7 linked regions of the Ovis aries genome follow. The protein of the gene in region 1 interacts with the protein of each later gene in a pairwise test. Links are inferred from orthologs where the notes say so. Each region holds a gene or a part of one and is shown in the gene's direction. Other genes may lie near its edges. The genes, in order: CREB3L1, MFSD5, TMEM218, FXYD6, GPR25, FAM3C and PGAP2.

What was found.
Region 2: the proteins of CREB3L1 (region 1) and MFSD5 interact in binary tests that used the Homo sapiens proteins (3 or more experiments, as listed by UniProt). The two-hybrid records come from large-scale screens. The link is inferred for Ovis aries from reciprocal best matches to the Homo sapiens genes CREB3L1 and SLC61A1.
Region 3: the proteins of CREB3L1 (region 1) and TMEM218 interact in binary tests that used the Homo sapiens proteins (3 or more experiments, as listed by UniProt). The link is inferred for Ovis aries from reciprocal best matches to the Homo sapiens genes CREB3L1 and TMEM218.
Region 4: the proteins of CREB3L1 (region 1) and FXYD6 interact in binary tests that used the Homo sapiens proteins (3 or more experiments, as listed by UniProt). The two-hybrid records come from large-scale screens. The link is inferred for Ovis aries from reciprocal best matches to the Homo sapiens genes CREB3L1 and FXYD6.
Region 5: the proteins of CREB3L1 (region 1) and GPR25 interact in binary tests that used the Homo sapiens proteins (3 or more experiments, as listed by UniProt). The two-hybrid records come from large-scale screens. The link is inferred for Ovis aries from reciprocal best matches to the Homo sapiens genes CREB3L1 and GPR25.
Region 6: the proteins of CREB3L1 (region 1) and FAM3C interact in binary tests that used the Homo sapiens proteins (3 or more experiments, as listed by UniProt). The two-hybrid records come from large-scale screens. The link is inferred for Ovis aries from reciprocal best matches to the Homo sapiens genes CREB3L1 and FAM3C.
Region 7: the proteins of CREB3L1 (region 1) and PGAP2 interact in binary tests that used the Homo sapiens proteins (3 or more experiments, as listed by UniProt). The two-hybrid records come from large-scale screens. The link is inferred for Ovis aries from reciprocal best matches to the Homo sapiens genes CREB3L1 and PGAP2.

Annotation. Positions count from the first base shown.
Region 1 is NC_056068.1:75,250,612-75,254,111, forward strand, and holds part of CREB3L1 (cyclic AMP-responsive element-binding protein 3-like protein 1), read left to right. Parts: coding exon 1-123; intron 124-2,312; coding exon 2,313-2,580; intron 2,581-2,766; coding exon 2,767-2,803; 3' UTR 2,804-3,500.
Region 2 is NC_056056.1:133,235,855-133,239,823, reverse strand, and holds MFSD5 (molybdate-anion transporter), read left to right. Parts: upstream 1-1,196; 5' UTR 1,197-1,300; intron 1,301-1,878; 5' UTR 1,879-1,896; coding exon 1,897-3,249; 3' UTR 3,250-3,469; downstream 3,470-3,969. UniProt on the Homo sapiens protein: Mediates high-affinity intracellular uptake of the rare oligo-element molybdenum.
Region 3 is NC_056074.1:25,990,358-25,993,857, reverse strand, and holds part of TMEM218 (transmembrane protein 218), read left to right. Parts: 5' UTR 1-942; intron 943-2,193; 5' UTR 2,194-2,276; coding exon 2,277-2,386; intron 2,387-3,470; coding exon 3,471-3,500. UniProt on the Homo sapiens protein: May be involved in ciliary biogenesis or function.
Region 4 is NC_056068.1:28,227,947-28,230,333, reverse strand, and holds part of FXYD6 (FXYD domain-containing ion transport regulator 6), read left to right. Parts: intron 1-410; coding exon 411-447; intron 448-1,449; coding exon 1,450-1,499; intron 1,500-2,055; coding exon 2,056-2,084; coding exon of another isoform or gene 2,085-2,106; intron 2,107-2,387. UniProt on the Homo sapiens protein: Associates with and regulates the activity of the sodium/potassium-transporting ATPase (NKA) which catalyzes the hydrolysis of ATP coupled with the exchange of Na(+) and K(+) ions across the plasma membrane.
Region 5 is NC_056065.1:78,883,387-78,887,235, forward strand, and holds GPR25 (probable G-protein coupled receptor 25), read left to right. Parts: upstream 1-1,371; 5' UTR 1,372-1,450; coding exon 1,451-2,575; 3' UTR 2,576-3,349; downstream 3,350-3,849. UniProt on the Homo sapiens protein: Orphan receptor.
Region 6 is NC_056057.1:87,488,010-87,491,509, reverse strand, and holds part of FAM3C (protein FAM3C), read left to right. Parts: intron 1-1,974; coding exon 1,975-2,101; intron 2,102-2,698; coding exon 2,699-2,788; 3' UTR 2,789-3,500. UniProt on the Homo sapiens protein: May be involved in retinal laminar formation. Promotes epithelial to mesenchymal transition.
Region 7 is NC_056068.1:50,010,720-50,014,219, reverse strand, and holds part of PGAP2 (post-GPI attachment to proteins factor 2), read left to right. Parts: intron 1-532; coding exon 533-716; intron 717-3,500.

The DNA of each region.
Region 1 (3,500 bases):
CAGCCCTGTGCTTCGTCCTGGTGCTGGGCTCCCTCGTGCCCTGCCTCCCTGAGTTCTCCTCTGGCTCCCAGACTGTGAAGGAAGACCCGATGGCCACTGACAGCATCTACACCGCCAGTCAGAGTGAGTGCCCCAAGCAGGGCTGCCCTCCCCCCACGCCAGCCCCAACTTCTGGGCAGAAGACAGACGCAAGTGAGGAGCCAGGTCTGGGGATGACACTGTCTCATTCTACCTTCCCATTTTGCAGATGGGAAAACTGAGGCCTCTCCCAAGGGTCTATGATTTGTTTGATATTAGTTATAGAATTAGAACTACAGTGCAGAGCCCCTGATTCCCAACCCACCCAGGAGTGGCTTGGCCAGGGGAGGAGGTTTAGGGAATGATAGGAATGTTCCCACCCTAGCCCCCATGTATTATGGTGCTGGTTGGTAGGGGGCATCTGCTAAGCCACCATCAAGATTTTACAACCGGGGTAGCGAGTGAGTTTCAGCTCCAGGGCCGTTTTCCATAAGATGTTAGTGGCTGCATGAAGCACTGTTCAGAAGGACTCTGAGGCCCCGTTCAGGATCGACAGGCAGGAGTGGCAAGATCCGCTGGTAACGTCTGTCATGGGCAGAAGCGTGGGAGTGGTGTGGACTCAGCTAGTTACCACCCCAAGGGGCTTGTGAGGACTGTTAAGAACATGGAGTTTCCGAGTCAGTCATATCTGCCACTCGCTAAGTGCGTGACCTCGGGCATGTGTCTGAAGCATGCTAAATTTTAATCTCTTATCTCAAAAATGGGAGTTACCAGTTCCACGCTTATTGAGCATGTTTGCTGTGAAGACGAAATGACATGGTGCATGAAGGCTCTCGGTACAGTTCCTGGTACACAGCAGGCTCTTACTAAACGAACAACAGTCGCTCCCTTTCTGATGCGCTCGCAAGAGGAGAGAAAAGACACAACACGCAGTGGCAAGGGGAGAACCGGCCCGGGGGGCAGCGAAGAATAGTGTGGATTTCCGGAGGCAGAGGATGCTCCAGACAGACCTTCAGAGGGACTTCCAGACAGTCCCTCATGGCCTCCTGGAGCGCACCATCCAGCAGGGCAGGGGGAGGAAAAGGAAACAGATGGGAGGTTGGAGGGAGCGAGGAGCTGGCGGGAGTGAGTTTCAAGGAGGAGGGATGCTGCGGGAAGAATGAGTTGGGACTGCAGGGCCTTGAGGCCGTGGGGAGGGTTAGGGGAAGAGGAAGCAGAAGCGAGGAGTGAAAACCCCTCCCTGGACCAGAGCAGCCAGAGAAGAGGCAGTTGCTAAGGGAGGTGGGTGGTAGGGATGTAAGTTCCTGAGAGGCACATGTCCGTTTCCTTAAGGCCAGAGGGGTCTGTGTGATGGGAGGCACAGAGGACCTGGAAAGGAAGGAATGGAAACTGGGGGAGTGGGGTTAGGGGGCAGGGGAGGCGTGTTGCTGGACAAAAGCAGAGTCAGAGGAGCCAGAGGAGCGCAGGAATGAATGAGCCCCTCAGAGTGAGCGCAGTGGGTTTCAGGCTCAGGGTCCCCGCAGGGCGAAGAGGAGGAAGTGAGCCCTGGAGCAGGCTGGCCCACGGAGCTGGGGCAGCGCACAGAGGCAGGGGCCCTGCTCAGGCAGACCGTGAGGTCAGGGCCCCAAGAGTGAGGAGGGTGCTGGTGGCTCCTGGAGCCAGGCGGGCCAGGGTCTGCAGCTCGGCCGCAGTGCATCTTCCTTAGGCCGGGACAGCGCCCCTGACAACCTGGAGCCTCAATGGCCTGTTTTGTGAAATGCACCTAAAAATATCTCATTCTGAGAGTTTCTGTTAATGATTTGATATAGGTTAAAGGATGCCGACAATGTCTGATAGGCATGGTAGATATCCAACAAATGTGTTTTCTCTTTTCCTCATCTCCCTGAGGGGTAAACTGGGGCCTCAAATGGGGAAAAGGTTTATTCAAGGTCTCACAGGAAGGGAGTGGTTCAGTAGGATGAGAACCCAGCTCTCAGATGCCCCAACCCAGTGCCCTCTGCTTAGGGAGTGCTAACTGGCTCTGAGTGCAGCTTCAGTCACTCTGTTATCTCATTTAAACCTCACATCGACGGGAGGTTGGCCCCTAGTATTCCTATTTTACAGATGAGCAAGCTCAGAAAGGTGAAAGCAAAGGCATGGCTTGCCTGCAGTCACACAGCTGGGAATCATTTGAGCTGGATTCAGATCCAGGCCTGAAAGAGTCCAGGGCCCAGGTCCATGACCACTGGGCGCTGAATGCGGCTAGACGGGGAGGGAGCCTTGGCACCATGGCTCACCCTGAGCTCCTTCTCCAGTGCCCTCCCGGAGCCTCCTGTTCTACGACGAGGGAGCGGGCTCATGGGAGGATGGCCGCAGTGCCCTGCTGCCCGTGGAGCCCCCGGATGGCTGGGAGATCAAGCCCGGGGGGCCGGTGGAGCAGCGACCCCAGGACCACCTGCAACATGACCACCTGGACAGCACCCATGAGACCAGCAAGTACCTGAGTGAGGCCTGGCCAAAGGACGTCGGTGGGAACAGCACGGGCCCTGACTTCTCCCACCCTAAGGAGTGGTTCCACGAGAGGTGGGTGGGTGGCCCCTTCCCTTCCTGGGCTCCCAGGCTCCACCCAGCCTCTGCTCACCCCTGGTTTCCGCGTTGTCAGCCACACCCTCCCGCAGCCCCATCCCTCCCAAGTCCAAACCCAGCTTGCAGAGGGGCCAGAGGGTCCTTCCCAGACAGAGTCATCCCTGACTTCTCTTCTCTCTCCAGGGATCTGGGTCCCAACACCACCGTCAAGCTCTCCTAGGCCGTGCCAAGACCCAGGACACAGGGCGTACCCTCTGGTACTCAGAAGAGGGGTCGTCCTGCTCACCAACCCGGATCCGGCTCGTACCCCTGCCCCCTGGGGTCCCCTCCCAGGAGAAAGGGTTCCACTCCCCACCCCCTACCAGCCCCTCTTTGCCCCAGATCTTGACTGGGGCCCCCCTTCCCCCCATATTTGGACTGTTCCCTTGGGCCAACCACTCTGTTCTCACCCCCTCCCTCCCACAACCATCCGTCCTTCTCAGATAAACCACTCACTGGGTTACCCACCTCCTTTCTTATAATGACCAAGAGGACCACTGCCTCCCTGCCCCACCACGACCACATACACACACACAGACACACCAACAGACCAACTCACTAAGCCCCTCCCCGCCCCCCCCCACCACTGTACAGAGACCAAGAACAGAAATTGTTTGTAAATAATGAACCTTATTTTTTATTATTGCCAGTCCCTAAGATATTGTATTTTACAAGTCTCCCTCCTACCTTCAACCCTCCCTTGTTTTGTATTTTATGAAGTTAGTGCGGGCTTCGCTGCTCCCTGGCCCAGGAGAGAGGGTCCTCCCACCCAGAACCCCTCACCTGGCCTCCCCCTTGCCGCTGCCCAAGCCGCTGGGCCTTTTTAATTGCCAAACCGCTTCACCCATCAGCTCAGCACATGCTTTAAGAAGGCAAAA
Region 2 (3,969 bases), on another chromosome or scaffold:
GTAGGAGCTGCAGGAGGGAACCATGTGGATATCTGGGAGAACCAGAGCTTCACAGGGCACAGTGTGCAAAGGCCCTAGTGATAACCAGTGTAGATGGAGTAGAAGGCGCAGGAGGGAAAATGGTAAGAGATGAGGTCAGAGAAGTGGCAGCGGAAAAGAGGACAAAGGAGTTTGTAGGCTATTATGATTTTGGCTTTTTCGCTTAGTGAGATAAGAAGCCATTGGAGGGTGGTTTTTTTGTTTCGTTTCGTTTTAAAATATTTATTTACTTATTCGGCTTCCTCCAGTCTTAATTATGGCAGGTGGGATCTTCCTTTCAGCATGTGGGATCTAGTTCCCTGACCAGGGATGGAACCCAGGCCTCTTGCATTGGAAGGAGGAGTTTTAGCCACTGGACCACTAGGGAAGTTCCCCCTGGGAGGGTTTTGAGGAGATAATACTAAAGCTGGAAAGAAGTTAAATAAACCTTTCCCAGGTACCACAGCTGTAGCAGAGGGTGGGCGTCCAACTCCAAGGCTGAAGTTCTTAACTCTTGACTGCCACTGAACTTTAAAGCCTTTTTCAGTTGGGCGCTGCTCTCCTATGATGCAGACCAAGAAACTGGGACACTGAGAAGTCATATGGCTTGCCCGAGGCGACACAGCTGGTAAGTGATAGGGGTGGGATTTGAGCCTTAGCGGTCTGCAAGCCAAGTCCACGTCCTTTACACCACACTGCCTCCCTCAGGTGTCTGAGCCATACTGACTTCTGGCCAGGAAGTCACTATCGTGGGAGAAAAGAAAATCGAGAAGCCCGTCTCGGCTTAGGGTGACGATGTTCCTTAAGAAGATCAAACCCCGACTCTGCGGAACTGCTGGCATTGTCTTAGGCACAGCAGCGCTCCGTAACCCACGACACGGAGGAAGAGACTGAAAATGGGTCTTTATTTCCAGGAGGTTCGGTAGGTATCCGGGAGTCGAAGAAGCGAGTGTCATGGGAAGGCCACGGATGGGAGTGAACCAGGAGCAGAAACGGCGACCACCACCGCCTCCAGTCTTGGCCTCGCCGGCGTCCGGAGGTTGCAGACGAGTCGCGGCTAGAGGGCGGAGCAGGGGCGGGGTTTGAACGCCGCGCCCCCGTCACGTGATGGGGCCATCATGGCGGCGGCCAGAGGCCTCCCAGGCTCCCGGAAGCAGGCTGTGAGGGGCGGGCGCGCTGGTGGAACCCGAGCCGGAGCCAGAGCAGGAGGTAGAGCGGGAAGGGCGGCCGGGCGGCCTGGAGCCGGACGTGTCCGGAGCGTCCCCGCAGACCGGGGCAGCAGGTGAGACCAGGGTCTGGGCAAGGCGCGAGCGTGTGTGGCGGCGGCAAGCGGGGTCTAGGGGGCGCAGGCGGGGGTGCCCTGACCCGAAGGAGGGGGAAATCTGAGATGCACGCGCGTGGCCTGAAGCAACTCTAGAGGCCTGCGCGGGTGGTAGGGATGCCTGGGACAGATGACGAGACCTCGAGGACAAAAATAGGCTCCCCAGAGAGGATGGGAGGTAACAGAAGGAAGTACAGTGTGTAAACGCTGTTACGGGGAAGGGCAGCAGCCCCTTAACTTGCGGGGCTGGGATTAGGTACTCCCTCTTTGCTCTGCCAGGAAAGGGTGGGGCGAATGCTCAATCTTCTCTCCTCTCACACCCCTCCCTGCCCCAGAGTGTCCCGCTCTGGCGGGCCACTCCTCCCACCCACCCAACTGGTCCCTCCGGTCTGAGCTCTGGGGGAGTGGAATTGAGGGGTTGGGGAGTGCTGTTGGCAGGGGTGGGGGTTGGGTGGATCCGCTTTCTGCTTAGACAGGCAGCCCCTGGACAGCGCTACCCGGGCAATGGATGTGACTCTGAAGCCCCCTTCTCTTCCCAGGTCGTCCGGGGGCCGGCCATGCTGGTGACTGCTTACCTTGCTTTTGTGGTCCTCCTGGCCTCCTGCCTGGGGTTGGAGCTGTCAAGATGCCGGGCTAAGCCCTCTGGAAGGGCCTGCAGCAATCCCTCTTTTCTTCGGTTTCAACTGGACTTCTATCAGGTCTACTTCCTGGCCCTGGCAGCTGACTGGCTGCAGGCCCCCTACCTCTACAAACTGTATCAGCATTACCACTTCCTGGAGGCACAAATTGCCATCCTCTACGTCTGTGGCCTTGCCTCCACCGTCCTCTTTGGACTGGTGGCTTCCTCCCTGGTGGATTGGCTGGGTCGCAAGAAATCTTGTGTCCTCTTCTCCCTCACTTACTCACTCTGCTGCTTAACCAAACTCTCCCGAGACTACTTTGTGCTGCTGGTGGGCCGAGCGCTAGGTGGGCTATCTACAGCCCTGCTCTTCTCAGCCTTCGAGGCCTGGTATATCCATGAGCACCTGGAACGGCATGACTTCCCCGCCGAATGGATCCCGGCTACCTTTGCCCGAGCTGCCTTCTGGAACCATGTGCTGGCTGTAGCGGCAGGTGTGGCAGCTGAGGCCGTGGCCTGCTGGATGGGCCTGGGGCCTGTAGCGCCCTTTGTGGCCGCCATCCCTCTCTTGGCTCTGGCTGGGGCCTTGGCCCTTCACAACTGGGGAGAGAACTATGATCGGCAGCGTGCCTTCTCTAGGACCTGTGCTGGTGGCCTACGCTGCCTCCTGTCGGACCGTCGTGTGCTCCTGCTAGGCACCATCCAGGCCCTGTTTGAGAGTGTCATCTTCATCTTTGTCTTCCTCTGGACGCCTGTGCTGGACCCACATGGGGCTCCGCTGGGCATCATCTTCTCCAGCTTCATGGCAGCCAGCCTACTTGGCTCTTCCCTGTACCGCATCGCTACCTCCAAGAGGTACCACCTTCAGCCCATGCATCTACTCTCCCTCGCTGTCCTCATCGTCGTCTTCTCCCTCTTCATGTTGACGTTCTCCACCAGCCCAGGCCAGGAGAGTCCAGTGGAATCTTTCATAGCCTTCCTTCTTATCGAGCTGGCCTGTGGACTGTACTTTCCCAGCATGAGCTTCCTGCGGAGAAAAGTGATCCCTGAGACCGAGCAAGCTGGTGTCCTCAACTGGTTCCGGGTGCCCCTGCACTTACTGGCCTGCCTGGGGCTCCTGGTCCTCCATGACAGCGATCGCAAAACGGGTACTCGGAATATGTTCAGCATCTGCTCCGCCGTCATGGTGATGGCTCTGCTGGCAGTGGTGGGACTCTTCACTGTGGTCAGGCACGATGCTGAGCTGCGGGTGCCCTCGCCCACCGGGGAGCCCTACACTCCTGAGCTCTGACCCTGTTCTAGGACCAGGGAGCTGGGATGGACCCTTGAACCCCACCTCTCCAGGGCTGAACAGATCTCTCTGTGACCCCTCAGCCTGTCCGGGGGCTCCTCCTGTCAGTGCTTTGGGTTGGGAAGCACATGGGGTGATGGCCTGGAAAGAAGATGCCAAAAGTTGCCTCTGTGTCACTCCCATCCCCCTTTCCACTTTAAAATAAACAATTTTAATTGATCATTGATCTCATTTACTCATCCTCACCTGTACCCACCTCAGTAGTTCTTATGAGGGGGCAGCTGGAGGTTGTGAGGAGAGAGGTGGGGTTACCAGTGGAACGTTTGTCTTTCTAGCTTCACTAAGACTTGTTTAGTCGCTAAGTTGTGTCTGACTCTTTGTGACCCCCATGGACTGTAGCCTGCCAGGCTCCTTTGTCCATGGGATTTCCCAGGCAAGAGTACTGAAGTGGGTTGCCATTGCCCTTTCCATGCGATCTTCCTGACCCAGCGATTGAACCCACGTCTCCTGCATTGGCAAGCGGATTCTTTACCACTGAGCCACCAGGGAAGCCCTCTCTAAGACTGCCTCCACCTTAAACTGAGAACTGTGGAATTGCCTTTCAACAGAAATGGGTGGGAAAAGCCTGAGGCTCTGAGGTCCTCCATATCTTGTTACCCTGGAGACAGGCACCCTCCCCATTTGCCAAGCAAAAACCTTACTCCACATCCAGAGTGAGAC
Region 3 (3,500 bases), on another chromosome or scaffold:
GAAAAGTGAAAGGGAAGTTGCTCAGTCATCTCCAACTTTGCGACCCCATGGACTGCAGCCTACCAGGCTCCTCAATCCATGGGCTTTTCCAGGCAAGAGTACTGGAGTGGGTTGCCGTTGCCTTCTCCGACAGCTAGATACAGTTTAGCAGAATTAACAAAGCTGTGTAACCCACATCCAGCTGAAGAAACAAAATTTCATAAGTACCCCAGAAGCCCCTTTAGTCACTTCTTTCTACACGGCAACCACACTCCAGACTTCTAACCCCCAAATTAGTTTGAACTGTTTTTGAACATTATATACATGTTATTACACAGTGTGAACTCTTGCCTCTAGCTTTTTATATTTAATATTTTCAAAACTTACCCACATTGCTGGATATAGTTGTGGTCTATTCATTCTTCTTTTTACTCTTTCATTGTATGAATGAATAAATTGTATCTATAATACCAACTCTTTGCAACCCTAAGGACTGTAGCCCACAAGCCTCCTCTGTCCATGGAATTTTCCAGGCAAGAATACTGGAGTGGGTTGCAATTTGCTCCTCCAGGGGATCTTCCTGACCCAGGAATCGAACCTGGGTCTTCTGCATCTCCTGCATTAGCAGGAAGATACTTTAACACTAGTGCCACCTGAGAAAGCTCACCCTATCTATTCAATTGAGGTATATTTAGGTCATTTCAGTTTGTAACTATTTCTAATAGGTCTGCCCTGAACTTTTGTGCATCTTTTAGTGAACTTATGACATGGCTGTTGGGGACACACCAGGAAGAGAACAGCTGGATCTAGGGTTCACATATTCAGCTTTATTAGATATAGCCAAAGAGTCTCCAAAGTGCTAATAAGAACTTACACTCTCACCAGCAGAGTACAAGGCTTCCAGTTTCTCCACATTTTGATCAACACTTGGAGTTGTCCATCATTTTCATTTTAGCCATTCTGGTAGGTGCCTAGAGGTACTGTATTTTATTTCCAATTTTCTAATGAAGGAGATGGGAATACCAGACCATCTGACCTGCCTCTTGAGAAACCTGTATGCAGGTCAGGAAGCAACAGTTAGAACTGGACATGGAACAACAGACTGGTTCCAAATCGGGAAAGGAGTACATCAAGGCTGTATATTGTCAAGCTACTTATTTAACTTATATGCAGAGTACATCATGAGAAACTCTAGGCTGGATGAAACACAAGCTGGAATCAAGATTGCCAGGAGAAATATCAGTAACTTAGATATGCAGATGACACCATCCTTATGGCAGAAAGTGAAGAAGATCTAAAGAGCTTCTTGATAAAGGTAAAAGAGGAGAGTGAAAAAGTTGGCTTAAAGCTCAACATTCAGAAAACTAAGATCATGGCATCTGGTCCCATCACTTCATGGCAGATAGATGGGGAAACAGTGGAAATGGTGGCTGACTTTATTTTTCTGGGCTCCAAGATGACTGCAGATGGTGACTGCAGCCATGAAATTAAAAGACGTTTACTCCTTGGAAGGAAAGTTATGACCAACCTAGATAGCATATTCAAAAGCAGAGACATTACTTTGCCAACAAAGGTCCGTCTAGTCAAGGCTATGGTTTTTCCAGTGGTCACGTATGGATGTGAGAGTTGGACTGTGAAGAAGGCTGAGCACCGAAGAATTGATGCTTTTGAACTGTGGTGTTGGAGAAGACTCTTGAGAGTCCCTTGGACTGCAAGGAGATCCAACCAGTCCATTCTAAAGGAGATCAGTCCTGGGTGTTCATTGGAAGGACTGATGCTAAAGCTGAAACTCCAGTACTTTGGCCCCCTGATGCAAAGAGCTGACTCATTTGAAAAGACCCTGATGCTGGGAAAGATTGAGGGCAGGAGGAGAAGGGGACGACAGAGGATGAGATGGCTGGATGGCATCACTGACTCAATGGACATGAGTTTGAGTGAGCTCCGGGAGCTGGTGATGGACAGGGAGGCCTGGCGTGCTGCAGTTCATGGGGACACAACTGAGCAACTGAACTGAAGTGAGTGACTAATGAAGCTGAGCACTTTTCACATATATATTGGCCATTTGTGTATCCTCTGTCAAGGGTTTATTCTTAGCTGCTTGATCTGTCAGTTTCTGAGAGAGACCTATTAAGACCTATATTGATGAATCCTCTTCCCACCCCAATCATCAGAAGTTTCCCAGAATGAATTCAGACTTTGTGTGTCCCCCCCTAGGAAACCCAGGAGCACTGAGAAGCGCAGCAGCACCGCTAACAGCAGGACCAGCTCGTCGCACTGTGCCCGGTGCTGTGCCGTGCATGGCTGGCACGGTGCTCGGCGTGGGGCCGGGCGTGTTCATCCTCGCCCTGCTCTGGGTGTTGGTGCTGCTGCTGTGTGCCTTGCTGTCCAGAGCCTCAGGGGCAGCGAGGTAAGTCCTTCTCTCTCTCTAGCGGGGAGTCCGAGCTAAAAGCAATCAGATGCGAAATCGCTGACGCTCATGAAACATTTAGAATTCAGGAGCTCATTGTCATTACCGGCAGTTGGAAGGAGTTGCATTTTAACCTCTTTATCATAAGCACTGACTGTGTTATTTATACTCGGAAGCTGAGGTGGGAGGAGAAAGGAGGGGGTACATGTCAGCTCGCAGCACACAGGAGATGAGGACATGGGAGATGAAAAGAGAATCTGCTTTCGCTGTCTCGTGAGTTTCTTGGGGTCACGCGTGTGCATGTTTCTTAACTGTTGAGATTCATGGCAGGTGCTGGGTCCAGCCCCTGAGGCTCTAGCCCAGGGCCCCGGGAAGCTGAAGGGTTGTGGATAACTTGGGCTGGTGTTGACTTAAAGAATCAGAGCCTAAACTGACTCTTAAGGACACTGTAGAGTCATACTCCCTGGCCAGATTGTGTAGGTACAAAACAAGTTACATCATTTACTAAAGTTTTTTGGTTTCAAACACAGCAGTGGGGGATCAGGGAAGGACCACTTTGGGTTTTCGTATGACCACACAGAGGTCAAAATAAAAACTACCTATTCCTGACAGAGCACGATTGACATATCATATATACACTTCTGTGTGTAAAACTGCCTCGTGGGAACCTGCTGTATAACACAGGGAGCCCAGCTCGGTGCTCTGTGATGACCTAGAGGGGGAGATGTGGGAGGCTTAAGAGGGAGGGGATATATGTGCACATAAAGCTGATTCACCTTGCATGGTAGAAACCAACACAGCACTGTAAAGCAATTACCCTCCAATTAAAAATAAAATTTAAAAATCCCACCAATTCCCATTCTTAGGGACTTGGAACTCCCAGGAATAACAGGAATGCATCCTGCTGGTACCTGTCTGGGAAGACGGGCTTTGGGAGGAAGGGGAAACGTTTCTGAATTCCTGTGGCCCTGGGGCAGCACACTGGGCCCTGTTAGTGGACTGAGGCAGAATATGGGCCCCAGGGAAAAGCCAGGCGCAGCCCAACACGAAACCGTGCTTTTAACCCCCTGTCTTTGGGCCACAGGTTCTCTGCCGTTTTCGTGTTCCTCGGTGC
Region 4 (2,387 bases), about 47 Mb from region 1:
GGTGCTCAGTGAAACAGCGAAGCATGAACGAAATAAGTACTCGATGAAAACAAGCACAGATACAAAGGGGCGGGGTGGCTGTATCCATCAGGGCGTGAGTCGGGGAGTCACAGGGGAGAGGAGACGGGGGCTGTCCTCAGAGGGCTCCGAGGCGTGTCCCCCTGCGTTTGTTTCCCCTCATGAGCCTGGGCTGCTTGCAGCTCTCAGCGCTTACGTGGTCAAGAAGACAGTCGTGTTGAACCTTGACATCAGAAGAGCCCTCCTCCAGCCAAGGATCGCCACATACAGCTGTGCAAGTCGTGCACTGCACAGAGTCCCAGGCTGCTGGTCACACAGTCCCACAGACTCACAGCGCAGCCCTGCTCGGGCTAAGCCGGACACTGACCCTGGATGGTTTCTTTGCCTTTCAGGTCGCCGATGCAAGTGCAGTTTCAATCAGAAGCCGCGGTAGGGATACCATTGCTGTGGGCACCTGGGGTGACGCTGGGAGGGCTCAGGGAGGGGCCCGTGGTGTGTGACCCCAGATGAATGATTTCTGGATTCTTGTCTCAGAGACAGGCCATGTGCATTGGGGTAGGGGTAGAAGTTTTGAGGGTTGCCAGGCAGCCTTGGGGAGAAGGCAATGGCACCTCACTCCAGCACTCTTGCCTGGAAAATCCCATGGACGGAGGAGCCTGGTGGACCACAGTCCATGGGGTCACGAAGAGTCGGACACGACTGAGCGACTTCACTTTCACTTTTCACTTTCTGGTGTTGGAGAAGGAAATGGCAACCCACTCCAGTGTTCTTGCCTGGAGAATCCCAGGGACGGCAGAGCCTGGTGGGCTGCCATCTATGGGGTCGCACAGAGTCGGACACGGCTGAAGCGACTTAGCAGCAGCAGCAGGCAGCCTTGAGGGCAAAGGAGAGGTCAAAACGTCAAGGGTCAGCCTGCCCTTCTTTCTTCTGATGTGTGTGGGGGGGGTGGGGGAGGGGGAGGATGCTGGATCCTTGTCTGGAGGCCCTTGAGACAGTTGAGCTTGGCCTCAGGGTCTCTCTTGAGGTCTGTCTCCTCTCCAGGACCTGTGATGCTGCTCTGCGGGTCACCTGTCCATGAGGCTCTTTGATTTTTGTGGAAATCTGGGCTTCCTCTCACTCCCCTTTTGCCCCTACATAAGGGCACACTCATTAGTCCCTATGGTAACCCAGGGCAGCCCTGGACCTCAGAAGTCCCAAGTCAGTGACAGGACACACACCTTCCCAGCACTTACCCATCTTGGGTGCCAACATCAAAGGGTGCCCATCAATTCCTCTGACCTCTCCCCCACCCCATGAGCCCCATAATGGAGAATGATCCACCATGACCTGGAGGAGATGAATCCCTGGGCCCTGCCCCAGCAAGGGGACTGGCAGTGCTCTCTGGGTTTGCCCTGGAGACCTCTGACGGGCTTGCATCTTGTCTGCCGGCAGGGCTCCTGGGGATGAGGAGGCTCAGGTGGAGAACCTCGTCACTGCAAATGGTAAGTGTTAAGACCACCTGCCCAGGTGGGACGGAGGAAACGGGCAAGGGTCCTTGTGCAGCTTGGGGTGGAGCATGGTTGTCAAGTGAGGTGGCTTCTTGAGAGCTGGCTGGCCAAGCATGTTTCCAGGTGCCAGAGAGGGGTCCCAGGTCCTCTGCTCTGTGTCATCCCCTTACCTCCACGAGACAGGCTGCTGTTCCTGACTACTGCTATTTACAGGGACTCTGCTCAGTGCTGGGCATGGTACAGAGTGTTTCACTTCTCAGTAATGGGCACACAGCCCCAGGAGGTAGGCATCACTCTCCACATTTTACAACAGAGGGGCTCAGAAAAGTTCAGGAACGTGCCAAGTCCTCTAACAGGCGAATAGGAGACAGGGATCTGCCCGGGTCTGTCTGACTCGCAGTCTGCATGAAGCACCCCTGCTCTGCGGGTCAGGCTCCCCCCAACCCCCGAGACAGGCATAGCTGCTGCAGGGGGGTGGCCCACTGGGGTGAGGAGTTCATTCCCCCCACCTCCATACATTCCCTGGGCTCCATTCTGGTTCTTTTTCCAGCCACGGAGCCCCAGAAAGCAGAGAACTGAAGTGCAGCCCCCAGGCGCAAAGGTAAGTGCTGTCTGCCCATATCTTCCTGTCACCATCACTGTTCTGACCAGAGTCTGGCTGAGGAGTCATCAGGGAGGAATTGGCTAGCTTTTGCAATGGACATGGCTTTGATCATGAGCGGTGCTCTGCAGAAACTCAAGCCTGAAGGGTGATGAGACAGATGGACTAAAACCTCCCAGTACCACACGCACACACACACAGAACACGCAGTTGGGAAATCGAGCTTCCTCACAACCCAGCAGTCAAGTTGCTCAGGCGTCATCCTAGCTGCCACGTGGGCA
Region 5 (3,849 bases), on another chromosome or scaffold:
TCCACAGCTTGGCACTAACTTGCCCTGAGGGTGCAGGTGGGCTCTGCCCCCTCCGCGTGTCCAGGGGCCTCTCAGTCCCCACCTCGGGTGCCAGGAAAGACCCAGGACTTCCTCCTCAGTCAGAGGGGCTGCCCCCTCCTCCGAGCTCCAGGGGGACTTCATTAACCTTCACACCAGGACGTGTGACCTCTGGCACGCCGGCCACTGCACATGGGACATACAGATCTGTCTCTGGGGCCTGATTAGTGACCCTCCAAGGTCAAAACCGGCATCTCCTGTGACACCCAAAACGGGGCCTGCCACACGGAGGCGGTTGCTGTAACAGGGCTGTACGGAATAAAATGGAAAAATAACCCTCCTCGAATTTTTAACGCCAGATGACCCAACCGCTCATCCACTCCTGGTGACAATGAGGCACGGCTCTGTGGAGGACTCACTGTCACAGCTCACTGCAGCAGCTCGCGGGAGGACGTGCCAAGAGGAGCTGAGGCCCGACAATGCCCAGCATCCTCGGGAACCCTGCCCCCATCCTGTCCCTGGCCCACCGCCGCCTCCAAGGCCAGGCTACATGCCCACCCTTCTCTCTGAATCCTTCCTGCCTCTCAGTCCACAAGGGATCCCGTCCTCCTCTGAAACTCCCGACTCCTGGTTGAGGACAACGCCTCTGCCGCTGAGTCCTGCTCCATCTTGCGCTCCGGGCCTAGCACCCATAGGCTCCGTTAGGTAGGTTCTGCCCAGGAAGGAAGGTGGGGAAGGGCTGGGGTCTAGATTCCAGGCTTTGCTGCCTCATCTGGACAGGCTGACCCTCCCTCTTCAGGTGCAAACCCTCCCCGTGGCTCCCTGAGAACCTGAGCTGGTCAGAAATGCCACCCTGGGCTAAGACACCAGACCCAGCAGCTCAGGGAGCTAACGGCATCGGAGAGTCTGGTATTCAGCCCCTGACTGTAGGGAGGCCCCCAAGGGCAGGCTCCCTCCACGCGCCGGCTCTGCAAAGAGGCCAGGGGAATCTTGGCAGCTGGCACCTCCTTGGGGAAAATCCTAAGAGAGAGACAGACAGTAGCCGGTAGCCAAGAAGGGGTGAGAGGGACTGAGGCTCTGAGCGCCTGTTCTACCGGGCCTCCGGGCCCTGAAACCGTTGACACTCCTAGTTCAATAAAACCAGTGACTGATGAGGGACAGGTCAGGCTCCCACGGGAGGCAGGGCGCAGATCCAGCCGGGAGCTTTTCTTCCAAAGACCCAGCTGGGAAGCCACCTCCCCGGCCCTCCGCCCCACCGCGAATCTCGCCCCCCTCTCTTCCCAGGCACCTGCCCCTCCCCCGCCCCCACCCCTTCCTGCCCACCCATTCGCCTCGGCCCGCGGCGGCAGGAAGGGAGGTGCTGGGCTGGGCACGGGCCGTGAAGAGCCACCTTCCCTCTTGGCCCCGCTACCGCCACCGGGCGTCTCCGGCCATGAGCCCCACGGAGCCCTGGAGCCCCAGCGCGGGGACGGCGCCCTGGGACTATTACTCGGGGTCGGGCGCACCGGGCGAGCTGGAGCTGGAGGAGCTGTGTGCGGCGCGGGACCTGCCCTACAGCCACGCCTACATCCCTGCGCTCTACCTGGCGGCCTTCGCCGTGGGCCTGCCGGGCAACGCCTTCGTGCTGTGGCTGCTGTCCGGGGCGCGCGGCCCGCGGCGGCTCGTGGACACCTTCGTGCAGCACCTGGCGGCCGCCGACCTGGGCTTCCTGCTCACGCTGCCGCTGTGGGCCGCGGCGGCGGCGCGGGGTGGCCGCTGGCCCTTCGGCGAGGGCCTGTGTAAGCTCAGCAGCTTCGCGCTGGCCGGCACGCGCTGCGCGGGCGCCCTGCTGCTGGCCGGCCTCAGCGTGGACCGCTACCTGGCCGTGGGCCGCCCGCTGGCCGCGCGCTCCCCGCGCTCCCGGCGCTGCGCGCTGGCCGCCTGCGCGGGCGTGTGGGCCGCGGCGCTGGCCGCCGGCCTGCCGTCGCTGGCCTTCCGCCGCCTGCGGCCGCTGCCCGGCGGGGGCCACGGCAGCCAGTGCGGGGAGGAGCCGTCGGACGCCTTCCAGGGCCTGAGCCTGCTGCTGCTGCTGCTGACCCTGGTGCTGCCCCTGGCCGTCACCGTCGTCTGCTACTGCCGCGTGTCGCGCCGCCTGCGCGGGCCGCCGCACCTGGGCCGCGCGCGGAGCCGCTCGCTGCGCATCATCTTGGCCGTCGAGGGCGCCTTCGTGGGCTCCTGGCTGCCCTTCTGCGCCCTGCGCGCCGTCTTCCACCTGGCGAGCCTGGGCGCGCTGCCGCTGCCCTGCCACTTGCTGCTGGCGCTGCGCTGGGGCCTCACCGTCGCCACCTGCCTGGCCTTCGTCAACAGCTGCGCCAACCCGCTCATCTACCTGCTGCTCGACCGCTCGTTCCGCGCGCAGCTGCGGCAGCGCGGGGCCTGCGGGCGCGCCGACCGCCCGGCGCGCTGGAGCAGCTCGGCGTCATCACTCTCCGGCGACGACGGCTCCCCGTTCAGGAGCCCGGCCCGCGCGGGCGGCCGAGCCCAGACGGCGAGCGCCCCCAAGGCTGTCGGCCCGTAGCTGCTCGGCCGGCGGGCTGCGGGTGGCGCAGGGAAGCGAAGCGGGCCGCTCCCCACCGCCGCCTACCTCCCCACCTCCCCGAGCGCAGCGGACTGCTCCGCCGGGTGCGCGGGGCCTCCCGGGGTCTCCCTCACGAGCTTTCCCAAAATCTCAGCTCTTCCAGCGTCCACCCCCCCCAACCCCCGGCTCGGCTCCGGAGACCCGCTCTCCTCCTGCTCCGCCCAGTGCGCACCTGAGCTTTGTCTCCAGCGCAGTAAACGTCCTGCGAGATGGACCTGCCACGCCGACCCGGGCTCGGAAAGGGAAGTGGCCTCCCTGCTCTGCGCCCTGGGAGAGACGCCCAGAGGCCACTCTCGTCTCGGCGGCCCGTTACCTTTGGTCCCTACAGTCGCCATTGCCTGCTGAGAAATACCTTCTCCAAGCCGAACCCTCTGGCTCCTCTCCAAAGAATCCCGGACCTTTGCGCTCTGCCGTCTTGGTGGCTGTGCTGAGTCACGCGTCCGCATCTTCAATTTCAACACTCACCAAAGCATGGGGAGCACGGTGCTGTCGCGCTCACCCCTTCCTGCTGCCAGCGACCCCAGGAGGCCCGTCCTTCATCTCCCCAGCTCCCAAGAAGCCGCAGGACTCACCCTGGACTTGGGCGGGTGCCTCCCTGCAGACAGAGGGTTCCAGCATCTGTCCCCGGGCACTCGGATGCTCTGACCGGCTGCCACACTGGGCCCCGCAGTGTGAGTTCCCCTTTCTCAATAAACACTTGCTGCCCTCACCCGACAGCTGTGTCTGCCTTTACTTGAGTGTAAGGGACTGAAATGAGTGTGAGGGGGCCACTTAATCACTGGGTCAGACAAAACTCAATCCAGGAGTTGAGGCTGACCTCAAAGTGGTCAGGATTTGGTGTCAAGTTGGGCTAAGGACAGCGGCCCCGCCGTGGGCCCCCCAGGAGGGCAGCCTGTCTTCTCTTCTTACTATTTTAAAGGACGTTTCCCATTTTGGAGGTTTCAGAGAGAGAGGGAGGGGGAAAAGACTGGAGCACAGCTGCCAGCCAGGTGTCACTTCAAAGCGGAAGTGTGGCCTTGTGGCTGTCAAATCCTGGTGGAGCTTTCTCCTCACTCCCTTTGGGCCCATCCAGGACAAATGCTGAAGGGCATCCATGTTCTGAGTCTGCGGCATCCTTGGGGGTTTCTGGAGGGGTTGGGAATTCAGCCTTTATACTTTTAAGCAGATATGGCCTAAAGAAACGTCAGTGCAGGAAAGAACTCAGGAATTCTCCT
Region 6 (3,500 bases), on another chromosome or scaffold:
CTGATCAGTTCTGGGAATGGAGGGACCCTCCCCAAATCCAAGCTTCCAGAGCCAGTCAAGGACCAGTCTTGCTCTTAGGCCTTTCTAAGCCCTGCTATAGTAATCCTTTTCTGCTTAGGACCTCAAGGTATTCTCAAAGGAAAGTAAGGAAAGATGAGCAGAATCAAAATGAAAAGCTTAGTTTCCCATTGCTGCTAGATTGGTTAGTTTATTCATGCAGATCAAAACAATTTCTGAAATTTGAAATCCAGAAGGAAAAGACTGCCCTTCATTATATTTCTTAATTGTAAAAATTTTTAGATAAGAAAAAATTGCAGGTACTTCTGGCATGGGGCCAGGCCTGCATTTGGGTAAACACCTACTGTGAAGGCATTTTTTTGTATATAAAGCAATCTCTTGGCATTTGTGAACCTAACATTCAGCTATTTACAAGCAGCCCTGAAGCCTGCACCCTGAGATGCAATTTGTGATTTTTCTGAGATGTAACTGACTGAAGCCCATAGGCCTTCCTCCAGGAGGTTGTCACTAGGCTGCCCTAGTAAGCATGACCTCTGCTCTGCACCATTTATTGTAGATAAAGCAGCAAAACTCACTACTAGCACTGATGATACTAGTAAAATGTTCTAATTAAGAGGCCAGCAGTAGAACATTTGAATAAACTAAAGAATGGAATGTAATAGTTTGCAGATCCATGACATACGAACACTTCAGAAACAAGAAAACAGTTCATATAGTACTTTCAGGAGATGTCCATCTCCTACAGAAATTGCTTACCAAGTAAGCAGATGAATGAAAGTGATAGCAATTCATGTAAGGATGATTACAAGAAATACAGCTACAGACCCACTTTGGGGAGAAAGCCAGACGCAAGTACGTGTAGTTGTGTGTGAAGTTGTCAGAATCTTCAGAAACAGACTTCCCTGGTCCTTTTGCACAGCCATTTCATTTATTTTGATTTCCCTTGGTTATAAATGCATCACTTGATATAGTTATGAATCTGAAAGACTTAGTATTCCAGGGCTGCCCCTGATTTTCTCACTGATTCTTATGACCTTTCCCAGGAGGGCAGCAGTGCCCAAGCTGTGGTTAAAACAGATTCACTGCCCCCTGGATGTGACTAATTGTGAAAGGCTAATGACATATGTAGCTCTATCCTGTTCATGAAGCTTTTTTTTTTTTTAACATAAAGTATCCTGTTTATCTTCAGGTTAGTTACATGAGAACTGTCTTGCCAGTTTCAGATACTTCACATAAAATATTTAATGCCCTAAAAATATTTGAAAAACTTGAGTCATTTTGCAAACATTTGAAGTTAACAGATAAAGTCAGGTCTCTTATATTTGCATTTAGAATTGAGTATAAACTCATTGTATGTCAAATAAAATTATTTTTTAAATGTTATCAGTCCCAATCAGTAATCAGGACTTTCCTGTTGATAAATGTGTTATTATCTCTTCAGGCAAAAAGTACTGTTATGAAGTAGATATAAGTAAACATAGTGTTAGAAACATCCAGATTTCTATTAGCACTTACCTTAATTCTACTCAAATGTAATTTATAAAGACTGTAGTGGAGATTTAAAGTGATTTTTAATTTTACAAAGATGTTGACTACTTAAGAGCTTCTATTAGCCTGAATAGGTACCTACTGACAAAAATGACAGTTTCCCATTTTTATTTGATGGAATGTAGATGAAAATGAACTGTTGTTGTGAAATTAAGATACATAAAAGGTACTTCTAAATAGCATAAGCTAGAAATTTATTTGCTAGATTTCATAACTTTCATCATTAAAGATTTCAAATAGTAGGAATGTTACTCTGATAAAATTTATTTTTTTATGTTCTCTTATTTAAGCCAGGGTTTTCTCATTTATTTCATGGTTGTATGTTAAATATTGTAAGTGTATCAGTATTCGTTAGACCACATACAGTACACTACATTTACTGTATCATTCTTTTTCTCTCTCTTCAAGACTCAATGATGAGGCCCGGCGGCTGATTGCTGAACTGGGGAGTACATCTATTACTCATCTTGGTTTCAGAGACAACTGGGTCTTCTGTGGTGGAAAAGGCATTAAGACAAAAAGCCCTTTTGAACAGGTTAGTGTCTCAGACTTCATAATTAATGGGCAACAGCAATTGTGTGAAACCATACAGTATGTATTCCTATCCCAGTTATTTGCAACTTAGATAAAGCAGACATTAAATATGTTTCCATAATATGTTTCCATATTTTCCATAGGTTCCTGGCAATCAGTTATTTGGAATAATCATGACACTATTTTAATTTTAAAATTAAAAAAATTGTCTAATTATACATGAAATTTTTTTCCTATGTGACAATGCATTGGCCTATGATTACTTGTATCATAAGACCTTTAGGAAGTTGGTTATTAAAAATTTTAGCTGAACTTTTGATATTAGAATCAGTGAAGTACAGAAATACTTTAGAACTTAATAGAATGTAAACTTATTTTTGACTTACAAAGGATCTTTAAAGACCATCTGTGGTGTTTTGTTCTTTCAGCTCTTCTTTGAAGGTCTGCCAGTGTATGCCAGACCCCAGGCATTGCTCATCTAATATCTTGAACACTAATTTATATGTTAGTAGAAGTGTTACTGAAATGAGTATGCTTAATTATGTTATTGCAGATATGCAGTTTGCTAAAGTACTATACTGTGGTTGTGTTCCAACAGCACATAAAGAACAATAAGGACACAAATAAATACGAAGGATGGCCCGAAGTTGTAGAAATGGAAGGATGCATTCCCCAGAAGCAAGACTGACTTGGAGAAAACTGAAGGGAGCACACTTTCACTGTTAGTGGGAAAGCTCTACCAGAAAAACTACCTGTAAATATTTTAAGAGCATGCAGCCATCTCGGTGTGTGCATGTCCATTATCTCTTTTGATATCAGGATTATTTATTGCTGACGTAAATAGCTGTCTTTGTAAATAGTCATCATCATAAGCAAATCACTGAACCATTTTCAAGCACATCTCTCTAATGGTACAATGTTCAGACCATGATGCTAATAGCATCTTTTAATTCTAAAAGCATACCAATGGATAACTGAACAGATATGAAAAATATATTGATATATATACTAGTCGCTGTGAAAATCTATCATGGAATGATATGGATTTTAGGGAGCAGACTTTGTTTTCTTTTACATATATATATGTATATTGCCTTCTGATGATGGTATCTTTTAAATTAAAAAGATATTGGGCTAGTTGTGTGTGTAATGTTACTTTACAGTCTGACTCCCCTGTTGTATTTCTTTTCTTAGTCTTTTTCTTCCCTTCCCAAGAAACCTATAAATAAAATAAGAAAACATATCAAATACATGAAAAGCACAACAGAATTCTTTGTTTAATGTATACAGTACAAAGTAAATATATAAATGTAGATGGCATTCAGAACTGTAGTTTGATGGATTTTGTGTTAGCAGTGCGAATAACTTGATTTTGCATAAGCTATTCAGAGTGAGGCAGG
Region 7 (3,500 bases), about 25 Mb from region 1:
CAGGGTCAGTAGGAGAGCTTGGGCCAGTCTGAGCCAAGGGTCCTTTGTCTGGGTTACTTGCCCTGAAGAAGGCCTTGGCTTGGAGACTTAAGCTGTCAGGTGGCAAGAGGCCTTAGTCCTAATGTTTGATCCTTGCATAGTTCTGGGCCTCGGTCTTCCCTTCTGTGATATGGGAAGAATAACCCTTCCATCCTCTGACCCTTTTCCTGAGGGTCATGGGAATGAGGCAGGCCATCAGAAGTCCCATGTGCAGGCCACTGGGAGCCTCGATTCTCCAGACTTTTCCAGAGGTGAACCTACAAGAGCAGTGTGCCAAGGGGACTCCAATGAGCTGACCCTGCCTCTCTCTGCTGTCCTGGCCCTTCCCCCTTATACCTCCTCTTCTGCACTTTTCTTTTTCCTTTATGCCCTTCCTATTCTTTTACTCTGCCTTTTCCCTGCCCTCTGAGGAGCTAGCTCTAGAAAATGCCCCACTTTCCCAGGCCCAGGTATCCCCACCAGGCCCCAAGTTGTGTCCCTTGCCCTGCCTGAGCACCACTCCCTACAGGATGTTCTCTGCGGCCTCCCAGCCCTTGGACCCCGATGGGACTGTGTTCCGGCTCAGCTTCAAAGCCATGGTCTCATGGGTCATCACTTTCCCTGTGTTCGGCTTCTTCTTCTGCATCATCTGGTCTCTGGTGTTCCACTTTGAGTACACAGTGGCCACTGACTGTGGGGTGAGTGCCAGGCTCCCCAGTGCCTGGGTCAGGGCCAGTTCAAGAGATGGTGATAAGGGTAGAATGTCAGAGTCGGAGAGAAGGCACAGGGTGAGAGGGGAGGGGGAAAAAAGGATGGTGGGGTCGGGGGAAGTCAGGGGGTGTGTTTTGGGGAGAGAGAGCCAGGGAAAGTAGATTCACAGTCCTCCAAGACTAGAAGAGGATTGTAGAGGGTACAAGGTGGCAGAAGGGGAGGAGGGGGAAGGGAAGAGAGGGAATAGGCAGGAGAGATCTCGAAAGGGAGAAGAGGGCTGAAGAAAGACCAGACTGGAAAAGAAGCCAGGACTGTGGGCTAAGATGAGGCCAGGAGTGAGGAGAAGTAATGAGTGGCTTTAGCCCAGACAAGAGGTCCTGCCCTGGGCTGCCTTGGGTTCTTCTAGCTTGGTTTCTCCTCTGGCAATCTCAGGCCCCACAACCTGAATCCTCAGAGCTCTGCCAGCTGGAAACCTAGAAGGAGCCCCTGCTTCTAAGAGCAGTCCACCAAGCCTTTCCTGAGGGCCCAGAGGGACGCAGGTTCTGTATCAGGGGCATGGAGTTGAACATGGACTTGCCCTTAGCATCTTTTTCCTGCAAGAGACAGACTTAGGCACAGATGTTCCCAGCACTGTGAGATGAGATTCCTTCTGTGATAAAAGGAGCATAGAGTTGGTGGGTTCAGAAGAAGCTCTTCACCCAGCTCAGAAATCAGAGACTTCTTCCTGGAGTGACGGTCGGGGTGAGGGGAGGGGAGTGAGAGTCCGGTAGGGGTGGTGTGGGTGGGAATTGTTGCTGTGGGGGTGAAGAAGGATTTTCATGAGTGCCAGGTTGACAACTTTTGATTTTATCCAGGGGACAATGGGGAGCTTTGGAAAGATTTTAAGCAAGAAAGGGACATGATCAGATTTGAGGTTTAGAAGACCATTCTGGCTCCTGTGTGCAGAACAGATTTAAGGGCAACAGGGCAAGGGCAGGGTACAGGGGTTTAGTTCATGGTACAGGAGGTTCCAGCTGAGATGGGGACTATGAGGTTAGAGAAAAGGGGATGGAGTTCAGAGAGGAGTAGCAGGTAGTTCTGATAGAAATGGGAGCTGTGAACATATAGTGGTTAGTACTCTGCGTTGTGATAGGAATAGGAGTTTTTATCCAGTTGGCAAGGGATAGGGAAGAGAATGGGTGGTAGGAAATAAAGAAAGGTCATCCATAAAAGTCAGGGGACTTTTATCTGAGGCCAAAAGAATGAATCTCTAATGGTGAAACATGAGATGCTATGATAAGGAAGTTTTTGGACCCCTTCCCTTTACACCGTGTGAATTTCTGATCTGCTGCCCTGCCATAGATCCACTGAGTCATGTCCTCCAGGCCAAAGGGTTTCTACTCTTGGGGAAAGGAATTATGCTCCCATCTCTCAGTACCCTTAGCTCTGGGCTTTTTGGGGAGGGGGATTTGGGTACTGTGTACCTAGGCTCTGATAGATTCTATGTTGCTTGTTGCTGGCATAGTTGGTGAGTAGGGAACGTTAGTACTTGGGATGGCAGGGGTGAATATGAGTACCTATACCTGATTGTGTATGTGTATGTGTGAGAGAGAGAGAGTTTGAGTGAGTTGAAGAGGGAGGCAGTTCTTACTCTTTGAATGCTGTGCCCACCCCTAACCTGAGAGGAGCTTGCGAGGATGGGACGAGTAGCCACAGGGCCCTAATTCTCTAATCCTCCTGAGGCATCCCCCCAAACTCTGTGTCATCTCTACCCTTTACCTATTTCCCAGCATCAGTCAGGGCTCTGGGCCCTTGAGTGCTCTGAGTTCTCCCAGCCAAGCCTTAGATGTTGGTACAGTTCTTAAAGTAGCTGAGGTTGGGGCAGGAGTTTTCAGAATGAATATTCTAGGAAGTGAAGACAACACTCCCACTAACCCTACACAGGGGACCTACCCAGAGAAGCAGGAAAGTCAAGTGAAGAGGCTTGGAGGTCTCAGCAGTGTCCAGTCCAGATATGACTCCCACCTGTCACTCAGAAGCCGGCCTTCCCATGGTCAGTAGCCACATAGATCACATATTTTTTTGCAGGCTTTTTGGGAAAGTTTGTCTTCTGAAAGCCATTGCTTATACTCACTGCAGATGCCTTGCATACATTGTATTTAGTATTCACCATCACCCTGCAAGGCAGGTGATATCCCTATTTTGCCAATGAGGAAAAGCTCAGAGAGGTAAAGTGACTTGCTCAAGGTCACCCAGCTTAGAAAGGCAGAGCTGGGATGCACACTCATTGCCTCCAAGCTGCCTTATCACTGAATATCTGAGACTGATCTTGAGCTTTAGTATCTCAAGTTGTACCTTGAGAGCATCACACTCTGAAAGCTCTGCACTGAGCTGCCTCTGACAGTGCTGGGGGGAATCCATCTCCTTTTCTGTGAAGGCTTGAGAAGGCTCTGGCTGGTCCCACCCCAGGCCCTCCCCGGCCCCGTGAGCTGCTTCTGTTATTGCCTGCCTTCCCAGCCACTCTGAGGTCCATTCAGCATCCCCACTGGCAGACAGGAAGGGATCTTCCAGAACTCCACTATGAAGACTGGTCCTGCTATCATCACAGCAGGGTCATTCGCTCTCTGGGTTTCTGGGCTCTGGTACTGCTCTGGCTCTTGTTGAAGGTCTAAAAGAGTCCACAGAAAAAAAAATAAAAATAAAAAAAATAAAAGAGTCCACAGAAAGTGTGGGCAACAGACTGGTAACTTCCATAGTTATGGAGTCCTTTAGAAATGCAGATTTTCAGATTC